Linked DNA regions of Notamacropus eugenii. The protein of the gene in region 2 interacts with the protein of the main gene of each other region in a biochemical or structural test. Links are inferred from orthologs where the notes say so. Each region holds a gene or a part of one and is shown on either strand. Other genes may lie near its edges.

What was found.
Region 1: the proteins of NPR2 (region 2) and NPPB form a complex in vitro, tested with the Homo sapiens proteins (3 studies listed by BioGRID). The link is inferred for Notamacropus eugenii from reciprocal best matches to the Homo sapiens genes NPR2 and NPPB.

What each region holds. Positions count from the first base shown.
Region 1 is NC_092876.1:51,288,091-51,295,253, forward strand, and holds NPPB (natriuretic peptides B), read right to left. Parts: upstream 3,019-7,163; 5' UTR 2,907-3,018; coding exon 2,787-2,906; intron 2,388-2,786; coding exon 2,117-2,387; intron 540-2,116; coding exon 523-539; 3' UTR 342-522; downstream 1-341.
Region 2 is NC_092872.1:79,358,576-79,365,863, reverse strand, and holds the start of NPR2 (atrial natriuretic peptide receptor 2), read right to left. Parts: upstream 3,006-7,288; 5' UTR 2,780-3,005; intron 2,253-2,779; 5' UTR 2,202-2,252; coding exon 1,535-2,201; intron 592-1,534; coding exon 386-591; intron 1-385. UniProt on the Homo sapiens protein: Receptor for the C-type natriuretic peptide NPPC/CNP hormone. Has guanylate cyclase activity upon binding of its ligand. May play a role in the regulation of skeletal growth.

The DNA of each region.
Region 1 (7,163 bases), on a different chromosome or scaffold from region 2:
GATTCCAGGGCATTTAGAAGTCTCCTATAATATGGACTCCCCAAAATCTTCCAACACTTGGATGTTTGCATCCTCACATTGCCACTACAGTCATTCAGATGCTTTGTATTTATCTGTATATAGGTTTTTCCCCCAGTGGAAAGTGAGCACCTGGAGGAACAGATCTTTCACTTTTGTCTTTGTAACCCCAAGACCTAACATCTAATGGGCATTTAATAAACACTTAATGAACTAAACTGAAGTTCCTTGTCCCATCCAAGTCAGCATCTTTCATAAAATACAGGCACATAGAGGGAAGTAGGTGGATTTTTTTTAATGTTCCAAGAATAATGGCTCCAAAATTTTAAAAAATCAGGCTGATTTTATTTAACCATGAATTTTCCATGCTCAAAAGTAAGAAACCAGCTTATACAAAACAACCAAATAAATAAATAAATAAATGCAAATAAATAGGAGTCATTTTGAGGGGGTGGAAAAGCCTCAGTGAGAATTAGATGTTAGGGAGTAGGTGGCTGGGACTTCTTAGTTCCTTCTTGACACTGTTGGAGGAGAAAAGAGAAAAATAAGGTTATTCCTGGGGAGGCTCAGAGCTGAAGTAGAATCTCGATTTTTCTTTTTTTTTCTCTCTGGGTTTTGTTTGACTTTATCACCTCATAGGATCATCAATTCTCAGAGTAGGAAGAGACCTCATTGACCAGGTAATTCAAAAAGAGCAAAAACCATTTCCCCACAAAGGGTTATCAAGCTTTTCCTTAAAGACCTCTGGTAAAGGAGAACTCATTATTTCCAAAGGACAGCTCTGATAATTAGCAAGTTTTTCCTGGCATTAAAGTGAAATTTGCCTCTCTCTCCCCTTCTTTACTTCTTTTCCTGTCCTAGCCTCTAAACTACACTGACTCCTGAAACTTATTCTAGTCCTTTAATCTCTCTGAGCCTGTTTCCTCAATTGCAGAATGGGAAAAACAATCCAACTGAACGATTTCATCTCCTGCCTTTGCAACTATGAGAAGCTTGGGGGCATTACTAGGAAGCAGAAAATGAATGAACCCTTATTCCCCACAGGGGCTGCCATTACAGAATAACACTCAATCATTTAGCATCTGGGACACTTGGAGCTTGGATGGTTGAATCATGGAAATAATGGAATATTGCAGCCTTTTTAACCCCAAGGGCTGTTAGTAGAGCTGAACTATGCCCTTGCCAATGGAAGACCTCAGATACAAACAAGGAGAAGACTCAAGGGGGATCATGGGATGTTTCATTGACCAAATTGTGGAATCATGGATCCAAAGATGTAAGGGGCCTCAGAGGCCATTGAGTCTAACCCTCTCATTTTTCAGATGAGGAAACTGAGGCACAGAAAAATTAAGTGATTTTCCCCAAAAGCCACAAATGGAAGGTATCTGGAATTGAACTCATGTCCCCAGACTGCATATCTAGGGATCTTTCTGCTAGTCCATAAAAAAGGCAAAGATAAAAGAAAATAACCACATGATAAGGGAGCATTGCTGTGTCAACAGCAACTCCCATGCTACCGACAGGGAGCTTTTCTAAATTTGGACAGGAAAGACCTAGGACTAGAATGTGGGTCTCTTGGGGGCAGAGGAGTCCTCTTTCAAAGGGTTCTATGTCCTTAGTATGTCTTCCTATTCAGCTTGTGCCCTCCAAGTGGGGGAAACTTGCCAGTCGATCAATCATAAGAAAAGAAGAAAAAATTAAAAGCCAGCCAAATGAGCAAGTGGCTGCAGGAGTATATCTGTGGGATTCTTCCTCCCCTCTCCATGTAGCTTCTTTGGCATCTTTGTGCAAGCCTCTGCTGTTCCCCAGGGAACCGCGCAGTCCCCCTGAGCTCACTCTGTTTCTCTTTTGTTCCAGCCTTGGGGGCGGGAGACAAGCTAAGTGTCTCTGAATGGCATTTTGTAACCTTGGTTCCTTTACTGGATTCCTCTATCCCCAATTCTGTTCTCTGGTCACTAAATCTGGAGATGAGATGGAGTCTAAGTGATAGAGTGACTACTTGAGAAGAAGGTCTTCTATGACTGTATGGGGGTGGGGAGGGGGCACCTGGGGATATTAAGCCAGAAAAGAGACAGGGCAGGGGAAAAGGAGTGTTTACCATTGCACCCCAGGCTGCTGAGAGAGCCAATTCTGTCCAGCCTCCTGCCAAAGCAGCCTGATTCTCGCATTAGTTTCGGGCTTTGCAGACCACGCAGAGCCTGGAAGGTGGAGACCCTATGGACACGGCTGCCTTCTGGCACCAGTGGGTGTTCGGGCTTTCTGTTCTCCCAGCCTTCCCCCGGGGTCTCTTCTTGCTCCCTCGGCTCAGGCTCCGCCATCTCCAACTCCTCCAAAGCTGAGATCTTGTCCCTTAGTCGGTACAGCAGTTCCTGGAAGGATGGTGGAAGTAAAGGAGACAGATTAGCAAGAATTGTGAGCCCCCTTGCAGATCAGCTCTTCTAGTCCCCTCCCCAAGCTCCCGCCGGCGCCCAGTGCATCGCCAACAAGACCTTAAGAATCTAGGGTTACTCGAACTTCTCAGGGGCCATTCTGCTACCTTTGGGTATCTTCTAGGCTTTGCCAGTCTGATGATTCTTTCGGAAATCCCTTAGTAAGGAGGGAGAATAGAGATACACATCCAGAGGTTCCCCTTGGTGCTCCCAATCCCAGACCCCTACCTATCACTTCCCAGTGGTTCTGAAGAACTCTCGGAGCAAGGGCGTGGGAGTAGGAGGCAGATTTGGGTTTCCCTTTTGCCAGCTGACCCGTAGACTATGTGCTGTGCTCACCTGGACCCCGGTCAGCTCCCGAGCCTGGCGAGGTCGGTCTAAGGGATGGGAAAAGTTGCCCTGGAGCTGCAGAAGGAGCAGGAGCAGAAAGATGCTGGGCAGCGCTTTCTGGGAGTCCATGTTTTGGAAGGAGGGGACTGGAGGGCGAAGGAGAAACCTCGGGCTGCTGCTGCCGCAGACAATGCTACTTCTTTCCTCTCTCTGCCCTTCTGGCTTTCTCTATCTGGCTACTCGCTGGGTCAGTCGCTATTTATTCCCAGTGGCTGGAAGCCGAGCCCTGCCTTGCCTTGCCCCTGCCCTTCCTGGTCCCGGGGTTATCTCTGACTTATCAGCCACATTCCGACCTCGCTGAGCTCAAAGCCGGAGAATGCGCCCCCGCGGTCTCACACAGTCTCTGTACTGCCCCCCTCTTCCTTGATCCCCCGCCTTTTCTTTCTAACTCGGGTCTCAGCTGAATGTAAGGGGTGGGAGTGAGGGACTGGTGAAAGAGGGATGGCCTTGTATAGAAACGAGCTAGAGAAACACTCCCTTTTCTGTTCTCTTCCACCTAAATTTCCCAAGGGCAAGGAAGCCCTGGGGACACCCCATCCCAACACTCACTGGCACAACTGACAGTGAAGACTCCTCTCTTGGATGGGGAAGGAGAAGAGAATACAGCTATGGGACTAAGAAGTGGGTACGCAATTCTCCTGCTCAGCACACCCCTCGCCTCCCACTGACCCCAAGCCTCCTAGGAGTTTCCTCTTTCAAGGGTCCTACAAGAGTTAATTGAGAGGAATCTAACTGGAGATGGGATGAAGGAAGATATCTGGGAGCAAACACCCTTCGGGGAGGGAGGGAAAAGTGACAAAGGAGAGGCTGACCAAGAACAGGCCAAGTTCTTCACATCATCTTCTTTTCCAGTCACCTCCTCCCTCCATGCACACCTTGCAGGATGAAGTCAGCTTCCCGCTTCAAGGAAAGGGGTGGGGTGGCCGCTCTGGTCAGGAATTCAGTATCCCCACCCCTCCCCCATACTGATTTTTCTCTCAAATCCCTCTGGTAGGTCCTGCGGTCATCTAGTCACTATGGCCCTCTGGAATTGGGCATTTTTTGCCGCTGTCCATGGTGCCGGCGGTCCATCACATAACCCTCCTTGAACTGTGTCACATTTCGGAGCCTAGTTAAGTAGCAAACAAATCCAAGTACCAGGCAGCCCCAGAAGACAGGAAGATGGTCAAGCGCCAGATCATTTCTCCTCCCCCTCCCCACAGGTACAGATGTGAGTTTTCCAGAATTTGCATTCTGATTTTATATCACTCCTATAGATAGTCTTCGGCTTGTTGCGCCATCCCTTAAGCAATATAATTTATTACTATGAAATTTTGAAAAACAAAAATGAGGGATAAAATTACTCTCATACTTTCTACGTATGGTGGAGTGCAAAGAGTGCTGGATTTGGAATTATTGCTGAGGACTTCCTTTCCCTAATCCCTTTTCCCAGTCCTCCTTAACCTTAGTGTCTTCCCTCTGAAATTATCTTCAGTTTACCCAGTACATATCTAGTTTTTACATAATTGTTTGCAATTGTCTTCCCTTTTAGACTGTGAACTCCTTGAGATCAAAGGCTGTCTCTTGCCTTTCTCTGTATCCCCGTTCTTAGCATCGTGCCTGGCTTATAGCAGGTGTTTAATAAATGCTTCTTGATTTATCAGTTGCCAGACTCCCTTTTTAAAAAGCAGTTTTTCTCAATCCACTTCCATCTCTCACCAATTGAACGAAAAGACAAAAAACCCATCATCACAAATATGCAAAAACAAAGCTAATTCCCCCTAAAATTGCCATGTTCCCTCAATTCTACCTCTGAAATATCTCTCCTATCTGTACTACCATTCCACTCAAATCCTTGTTCAGACCCTTTTCTCCTCTTTGGTAATCTCAAAGATTTAGAATTACAAAGGACTCCAGAGGTCCAACCCCCTCACTTGACTTCCTTGGGAGGACAACAATGATTTAGTTTTTAAAAACATTTTGTTGGTAACTTCTGTTTTTATATCCCTTATTGAGGGTCTTCCCCTCACAAATCTTTTTCTTTTTTTAAGAGGCTGTTCTTTGCTTCATTTCTTATTAAAATTTAATCACTGAATGGGCATTGGATCAATCAAACTGAGACCTGGAAATGGCTTGAAAAAGTCGAGGTCCCCCTTTGCATCCTGGGTCATCTCTAATTGTTCTGATCCCTATCTGGCCACTGGACCCAGATGGCTCCGGAGAAAAAAGTGAAGCTGGCGACTTCACACAGACCTCCCTCATTTAACTCCAATTCACGTGCATGGCAAGGCATTACCTCCCTAATGTCATGGTCCTTTTCAAGAATGAAGGAAAAACAGCAGAAGCTTACCATTGATTTCCTAACTGTTAAATCCAATGCTCTTTTCACAATCCTCATTCTAATTGACATCTTCACAGTTTTTGCCACTGTCAACAATATCCTTCTCCTAGAAACTCTATATTCCCTTGGCTTCTATGACAGTATTCTGCCCTGATCCTTCTGACCACTCCATCTTAGTCGGCTTTGTAGGATTATTATCCATCTTCTACCAGTTAAGCAAGAGTGCCCTCCAAAGATCTCTAGTGGCTTCTTATTTTACCTAGGATAAAGTATTAACTCTTAATATTGGAATGGAAAGCTCTCCAAAATCTGGCTCCCATATAAATTTAAAGATTTATTTCATATCATTAATCTTCATGTATTTTACTTACATATAGGACAATACTGTCCTACTAGCTGTTCCTTGAACTCAGTATGCCATCTCCCATTTCCATGCATTTGCACAACCTGTCCCCCATGCCTGGGATTTCCTCATCCCTCACCTCTACTTCTGAGAATCTTAAGCTTCTATCAAAACTCAGCCCATGTGCTCTTGTTCTTCCTTTATCTCAAAGAGCACCAATGACATCACACAGCGATGTTTTGACTCCCCACTCACTCTCTCTTTCAGAGTCATCATAGTCCAATGGAAAGACAAAAGTCTGGATGATTGCCAATGACCTGGGATGCAGTATATGACACTCTGTGTCTGACCAAGCTCTAAGCACTCCACAGCTCCTGCTTCAGCTGCTTTCATGGTCATTGGAACAAGTTGTTCTCATTCACCCATTCCACTGGGAGGAAGTCTTCTCATGTTTAGGGTAGACATCCCCTTAACTCACCATTAGATATGAGTCCTGTTGGTTCCGCTTAACCTGATATAGCCTGTCTGCCAAAATGGTTTATGGGGAGTGGCTGCTGAGCATGCTCCAGTTTCTTAGAGCCACAGGTGAAATATGAATGAGTTCAGGTGCTATACCCTTTATAAAGTCTTTTCTGACTATCCCTTGAATTATTAGCATTTTCTCTTCTAAAATTACTTTGTAGGAAAAGGACTATAGTCAGTAAGTACAAAAATTTTTATAGCAGCTCTTTTTGTGGTGTCAAAACATTGGAAACTGAGGGGATGCCCATCAATTAGGGAATGGCTAAACAAGTTATGGTATATGATTGTGATAGAATACTATGTGCTATAAAAAGTGATGGTTTCAGAAAAGCCTGGGAAGACTTATATGAACTAATGCACAGAAAAGTGAACAGAATTGGGAGGACATTGTACATAGTAATAGCAATATGGTAACTGTGAAAGATTTAACTACTCTGATCTAACGATATAATAATCAAGATGATTCTGAAGGACTTGTGATGAAAAATGCTATCCACCTCCAAAGAGAGAACTGATGAAACCTGAGTATAGACTGAAGCATATTTTTTTCACTTTATTTTTCTTGCAACATGGCTAATATAGAAATGTATTTTCATGATTTCACATGTATAATTGACATCACGTTGCTCTTCTCAATGGGTGGGGAAGGGATGAGAGGGAGGATGAGAATTTGGAATTCAAAATTTTTAAATGATTAAAATTTAATTCTAAAAAAATTAAATTACTTTGTACTAATTAATCTGCATAAATTGTATCCCTTTTCCATTCCCCAACAGAATATAAGCTTCTGAAGAGCAGGGACTTTCCACCCCACCCCTCCCCCTTTGTATCTCCAGCTCCCAGCACCAAATCTTCTGAATCACACATAGTCCAACAATCTTTCCCTTTCACTTGAGTTATTGATGGATTTTGTCCTGTTTTCAATCCTCTTGCTAAAAAATTTCTTAGTATTTTATGAGTCTTTCAGGGTCGCTGATCTTCCACTGGTCCATCTTATTCTAAACAGAGTGGGGAGGCTGTTTTTAGAGTAAGTCAGAGATCAGGAGAGGCTTAAGATGCAGGCTGCATGATCCAGTCTTGTAACCATTTGGCATACTTCTTTCCTTGCTGATGGGAAACTGATGGAGAGGGATGGAGGGAA
Region 2 (7,288 bases):
AACTGTCCTATGTACACTTTGTTTCCCAAGTAGGAAATAAGATCCCAAGGGCAGGGAATGTGTCTTTTTCCCCTTCATTTTCTCCACAGAAGTCCAACACACAACTGGGCACATAGTAGGTGTTCAGTACAAACTTGATTTGTTGCAAAAGAAAGAGCAGGCCAGGATCTTAAGAACCTTGCCATACACAGTAATAAAAAGTCACAGGAAAATGACTTAAAGGAAATGGATGGATCATTTTCTTTATAAAATTCATACTCTGGCTCTGGGAATGCCATAGGGTGGGGGAAGAAGGGAGCAATTTACCAGGAAACACTTCTCTCCCTTTTCCTCTTTCCACAGCTGACATTCCACCTACCCCTACTCCAGCTTCCATCCATGTTACCTGAAAGGCCTCCCTGAGGGCCTGGGTCTGCTCTCCAGTTCGATTGTCTTGCCAGGGCCGACCTCGGAGGCGGGTGGGGCTGGCACGGAGGCTCTCCCCAAAGACATCCAAGTAGAAGAAAACGTAGTCTCCGTTGGTTAGGTTTTCTCTCTGGGCCTGAAGCAGGATCTCATGCAGCATCTCCAGGGGGCCACAAATGTACACAACTGAGGGCAGGTATTTAAAAATGGAGTACCCTTAGAAAGTGCATCCAGCAACTCCAAAGTAGCCCTTTCCCCTGGGCTTGCAAGCTTTCTATTCTCTGTATTCCCTTCAGCAGAAAAGTGAGAGCCTAAATCCATTTAAGTCTCCAGAACATACATCTCTTTCCCCAGGAGTGTGTTGAAAGTACCCTGGGGCCATAAGGAACATCTGGCATAAGTCATAGCTTGACCTCCAGAGGGAGGAAGGGATGTATGTTCTCCCTATCCCCAGCCCCTCTCTCTCACATTCCCACTTCCTCCTAGTCTTCACTTCCTCAGTTCCCCCATTCTGCTTCTGATGGGAGGAGGGTTGGGAAGGAGAAGAGGGGTGGAAGGAAAAGTGCAATTTAGGGGTCACGAGCTTAGAAACTTTAAGTTTAAATCCCGACTGGCTTTGCCAACCAAACACACTCAACTTTAACCCAACTTATTGCACCCTAAGCAAAGGACATTAGTTTGAAAAGGATTTTAAATACAGCAAAAGGCATCTGGAAATAGAGGAGGAGTATCCTTTGGAGTTTAGACCATCATATCCACAACTACAGGATAATTTCATTTCCAACATTCTATACCTCCGACAATACCACAAAACCTCATGGAGCTCAATACCCCCACTCCTCCCTACAACTAAGCCTCTCACACACTATTCCCACATGCTCCTGTTACTTACATCTTCACAATATCCCTTAGTCTTCCAACCACAATGGCCAGATGCTTCCCTTCATAATCACTTCTCCCCCTCACAAACCCCATTTCTGTCCATATCCATCTTAAAGCTGTCCACATGACTCCTCAGTATCAATCTTTACTAACAAGTTCCTGAAATCTCCACTTTGCCTCCACGTACCCCTGAGATGCCTATCTCTAGCTACATACAACCCCAAGTGAAAGCCCAAGCTACACTCACTGCGCCCATTGGCCCGGATGAAGTGTGTAGCCTGCTCAGGACCACCTGGTTCCCGGGTATACACCTGGTGCTGCACACTGAGATTGTTGCCTTGCAGGGCCTCAAAGACCCCTTCAATTGTGAAATAATGGGGCCGGTCATCAGTGCGGGCATCCAGATACAGCAAAGCAGCACGGGCACTCCAGTTGAAGTGCCCATGCAATGTCACCACAAACTCGCCCAGTTTAGGGGCAGAGGGCCCAGTGCGAACCAGTGTTCTGTAGTGCTCACTCTTGGCCGCAAAGCCTGAGGCCACAGCACCTGCAGTCAACAGGGGCAGCCGCCAGTGTGAGGCAAAACGTGCCACAGAAGCAGCAGGGTACACACAGCCAGGACCCAGAAGAAGGTCAGGGTCATTGTATAGCTTCAAATCCACAGCATTCAAAGGCGCCAGGTACTCGGAGCAAGCGCCATCCATCTCAGAGCTGACAAAGTGCAGGTCCACTGGCAATGCTCTCCCCAGGGCTTCCATGGCCAGTGTCACAGCAGGGCCCACCCGTGGCCAAGCCCAGGCATAGCTTAAGTTGTGTTCAGGTAGCACCACTGCCAGGGTTAGATTCCGGGGCTCAGGGGGGCGTGCCCCACCCACCAAAGCTGCCAGCATCAACAGGATTGGGGGCAGCGCCATGAGGAGAAGGCAACTGCCCCACAGCCTCAGAACTCTGAAGTCCCTTTCGGCCTATAAGGGAAAGACACAAACCCCAGCCTGAGACCTCAAGGAACAAGGCTAGGGTAGGGGCTAGGAGATGGCTGGGGAGACTGAAGCTGGGACAGCTTAGGCACAAAAATAGAAGAGAAATAGGAAGCTAGAGAAAAGGACCAGGAGGGAAAGTAAGGATGGAGTTGGGGATGAGATGCCCTGAAGCTATGGTGGAATAGAGGGCCTGGGGTGAGGGGCATGGGGGGGCCTACGAAAGGAGGAGATCAGAGGGGCCTGAGGCTGAAGAAAAAGAGGTCTAATGCTGAGGGAAGCCCAGGAGCAGAAAGGGGTCTGGGGTGGAGATGGGGCCAGAGCTAGGGCTGCGGGGGCCTGGGCCTGGGGGCCTGGGGCTGGGGCTGGGGCACGGGGGGCTCGCCCTCCCGGTGGAAGGGGAGAAGGGGAGGGGCAGGGAGGAGGCACAGGGGTGTCCATGTGGGGGCAGGAGGGCCGGGAGGAAGGAAGCGGAGGGGGAATCTCCGGGAAAGGCTTCTCCCGAGGGGGCTGACCTAGCGGACCAGGGCGCTGGTCCGGTCTCAGGCTGCGGCCCCGCCCGTGGCCCGGCTCGGCTCCGTGGCGCTCGGCTTCTCCCGTGGCCCGGCCTTCGCTGGCCGCCGCTTCCTGCCGTCCGGGCCCCCGGGGCCCCGTGTACTCGGCCAGCTCCGCCCGGCCCGGCCCGGGCCCGTCTCCGCTTGCTGCGCCGGTGGCGGCCGAGTGCGACTCCCGGGGCAGGCCGCCCGCCCCCTCCCGGCGCCTCCCTCCCGCGGCCCCTGCCCCCGCCCCCGCCCCGGCAGCCCCTCCTCCTCCCCCTCGGGCCCCACCCTCCCGAAGCGGCGCCCGCCGCCTCCCACTGGGGCTGGCCTCCCGCAGCTCGGCGCCCCCGGGAGACCCGGCACCCCTGGGGGACCCGCCGCCCTCGGGGAACCCGGCGCCCCTGGGGGACCCGCCGCCCTCGGGGAACCCGGCGCCCCTGGGGGACCCGGCACCCTTGGGGGACCCGGCACCCTCGGGGGACCCACACATGGGAGACCTGCCGCCCTCGGGGGACCCGCACACGGGGGACCTGCCGCCCTCGGGGGACCCGGCACCCTCGGGGCACCCGCACACGGGGGACCCGCACACGGGGTGTCCGGCCCCCTCACCCGGAATGGCCTGGCTGCCCCCAAATCTCTCCGAAGCATTTCTCCCGAGCCCACTTTCCCGGGGCCCCCTCCGAATAGTCTGTCTGCTCAGAGTCCCCTTTAAGTCCATTTCTCTAAAAGGCGACCCAGAACCCCAAAGGCCCACTAAACCCTTCATCGTTTTACTTCTGCAGGACACCCTATTTTGAGGGGCTGGCTGGTAACATGCGTTCCTAGAAGGCTTTCTGGTGATATTCTGCTGCTCTTCCGAGGCCTTCCCTTTCACTCCTTTCTGTATCTCCAGGTCCCTACAGGCCCCTCAGCTTCCCAACAAACCTCAGTGGGATTCTTATCTCCCTACTATGCTACAAAGGCTTGTGAGCTCCATCTTTCCTCTCTTGTCTTTGCAGTTTCCAAACCCATGCCATACTACTTCATCTAGGGAAAGGAGCAGTACAGCGGCAGGGTGGGCCGGTAGGAAGAGCCATATTCCTCTTCTAGGGCTCACCACCTATCTGGCCACCAGCCAGTGAGCCGCCCTCTGCCTCAGTTTCTTTATTTGCCAAACGACCAATTGCACTGGATGGTCCCTGAACATGATCCTCTCCAGGTACTACTATATTGTATCTGTTCCTTTGTCTTGCTGATTGGTTGGTGCACTGCCCCACGGTGCTCAGCAGCACAGGCACTTAATCTATCTTTGCTGACTAAGCAGACTTTCTTACAACCATGAAAATTTAGTTCAACCCAAGGCCAGAAAGGTATTTCTTTTGGTTGAACCAGAACTAAGTAAAAGATAGAATATAACAAGTCTTCAACAAGTCCTTGACAGCTGAACTGGGCCCCAAAGTCTTCATTTCCAGTTTTGTGCTCCCTCTTTGAACCACCACTCCTTTCTTTACCCCCTGTAAGTCTAATTCCCTTCTGGGGGTCCTGCTCTATCCCTGAAGAACAGCTTATCATATCATGAATTGCATCATGACTGCTAGGAGGGAATATAAATGAGACCTTGAAGAATTCCTTTTTCAGAAGAGAAAAACTAGAGATGAAAAACTCACTTTCTTCCGACTAAAGTGAATACTGGCCAAAATCAGGCCAAACCTCAGGGCCCCTCAGCTAGCCCTAGTTGCACATCTTACGATTTTTTGCCTCTGATATTTTTACCCCTTCCAGCCACAGTTAAACAGATGTCACTGCCCTGGGGAGAGAGCTCCCAGGCAGACAGCACACAGTTTCTCTGAAATTAAGGCGACATCTGGTGGCTTCAATGTGGAAATCCAGGAAAAATTCAATTCAATAATTCTAAGTTATTTATTGACGACCAACCAGGCAATGGACTGGGGAATGTAAGAAAGGTATATGACAAATCTGGTGTACAGTTATCTAAATCCAAAACCATATGAGCTGTATCAGCACTCAATCAGTGAGGTAAAAATAAATCCATCTCATCTTGAATGACAGCGAAAAAGGAGGAGAGAGCCCAGAGGGAAAGAAACAGATTGAGATAAACATAACTATAGTCAGAGATTAAGCAAATAACATTTATTAAGCATTCATAAACAACATTTTGTGCCAGATATTGTACCTGTCCAAAACAACAGTCCCGGCTATCCAGGAGAGTACAATCTAATGCCAAGAGTGACAGGTTCTAGACACTCCAGAGTCACATAACTGCCTACAAACCTACCAGAAGAAACAGGAGTTAGCTAATTTTCTGAATGTAACAAAAACCAATGCATTTTGTGTCAGAGAACTTGAATCAGAATCTCATCTTGGCTATGTATGGAGCCCACTGCACCAGGGGTCTGATTTATATTTGACCGCTGGCCACAGACAGCTCCAGAGGAGAGAGCGAGGCTGGTGACTCTCCACAGCCCTGCCTCACTTAAATCCAATTCACTCATAAGTCATGGTATCACCTCCCTGATGCCAGGGTCCTCTTTGAGAACGAAGGACGAGCAACAACAACCTATATGGACAGGTCACTAACCTCCTCTGGAATCATTTCTTCATCTGTAAAATGAGGGAATTAGACTAGATTATTTCAAAGTCCCTTACAGCTTTAAATCTGGTGAACAAATTCTATTTTATGCTCCTGATATAAATCTTTTCTATACTTCTGATTCCTGTCACTGAAATTTATTCTTATCATCTATCTAGAGGACTGAAATTCCAGCTTCAGGTAATTCAACTTTAGTTATACGGTGAGCTCACTGTAATCTTTGCAAAGCCTGAGTGCTTTCAGGACCCTTACAGGTCCAAGTGGCTTCTGTTATCCCACATATATATTCCTTAACTTTCTAGTCCCCTGTGAAGGTCCAGCCTAGACAGAGGCTGGATTCCTAGGTCTGGATCCAAGTATGTGGAATGTCTGTTACAGAGATACACTGAGGGAAAGACAGGGTCCTAGAGGGTAGTGTGGTTTGGAACCACTCTTAATTCCACAAGAATGACACAACCCAAAGGAATTGAATTCTAGGAAAACCAGCAGGGTTCAAGTTCATACTAATATAAAGTAAACCCCAAACCCAGACCTCCAAAGTCTGATCCCCAGTACTCTCCAGAAGTATCTTAAAACTAACCTAATGTCCCAGACAGAGATGAATTTTGAATTCTCAGGTTTGCTTTAGACAAGAGGAACATAACCTCCTCTGGGGCCTCCAAGATTTCAGGGCAATAAGTACTCCCTCCCCATGCCAGTCACCTGTCTCACGTTGCCAGGTCTATGCCAAATCAGAACATTTGGGATGTTCTTTCTTCACATCAGATGGGACACAACACCAAGAGAACCTGCCACAAAGGACACAGAAGAGCTTTGAGAAATAAGAGAAACCAATAAGGTGTATTTCAAAATAATGCTTTTCAATATGGAGAAAAGATAGGGAATAGAGGTAAGGAAGCAAAAAGGTTTGTGAAAATAAGTTGGAATTCATTTAAAATTTTTTTCATAGATCATCTCATCTTTTAGCCAGAGCCAGGGTGGTAGGCAAAGATTCCCATAATCCCAGACCATGAGGCCACTACTGTGCCCCACGCCCACATACACACACATATTCCCAAAGGGCAGGGTCACCCTGTAGGCGATGAGGTATATTGTAAGACAGACTCCCATGACCAGACCAACTTCATTTAAACCTTAGGGCTGAGGGCCTGCCAACAGAACTGCCATAATTTTATTGAATTCAAAAGACAAATGGCTACTAAGCCCTGGACCAGGAAGGTGGACACGGACTGAAGCATTCAGTGTAAGTAATTTCCTTAGTTTTAAACAGCCTCCTCTCAGCAAAGTGGGAATTGATTTATCAAATCTGTAAAATCTAATCCATATGCTAAGGGATTTTAGCTTGCATTAACATATTTTTAAGCTAATGAATTTCTACAATCGTCCAAACATTTAAAATTATTCAAAAACATTTTAAAAGCAAACTCTGGCTCCCAAATTACTTGCCTGGTAATGTGTTCTAAAAGGTCTATCTGAGGGTTCAGAAAGGCCTGCTTCACAAAAGGGTATTCCAGGGAAGTGGGGCCTCCAGTTTTCAGCTCCTAGTGTTGGAGTTTGAGAAATGTCAGCAGAGGTGATCGGGAACATCTTCAGCATCCCTAGAAACCAGGCAAACCCAAATTTCAGCCACGCCCCCTACACCTAGGCCTAAAAAAACAATTCAACAAATGCGGACTACAATAAAATATTCTTTATGCCATAGCCAGTACCTTTATGGAAGCTGTACAAAATGAAACCATAAACATTCAAGATAGACAAAAGGCTTCTATAAGCCTGTAAATGACAGATACACGAAAGGTGAAAAAGCTATGGGTGATTTAACTAAACATACCCTGAGGCCACTCTTGGAGGCCACCAACTGTTTCTGCCATGAAGAATATCTCAGCATTTTCAAG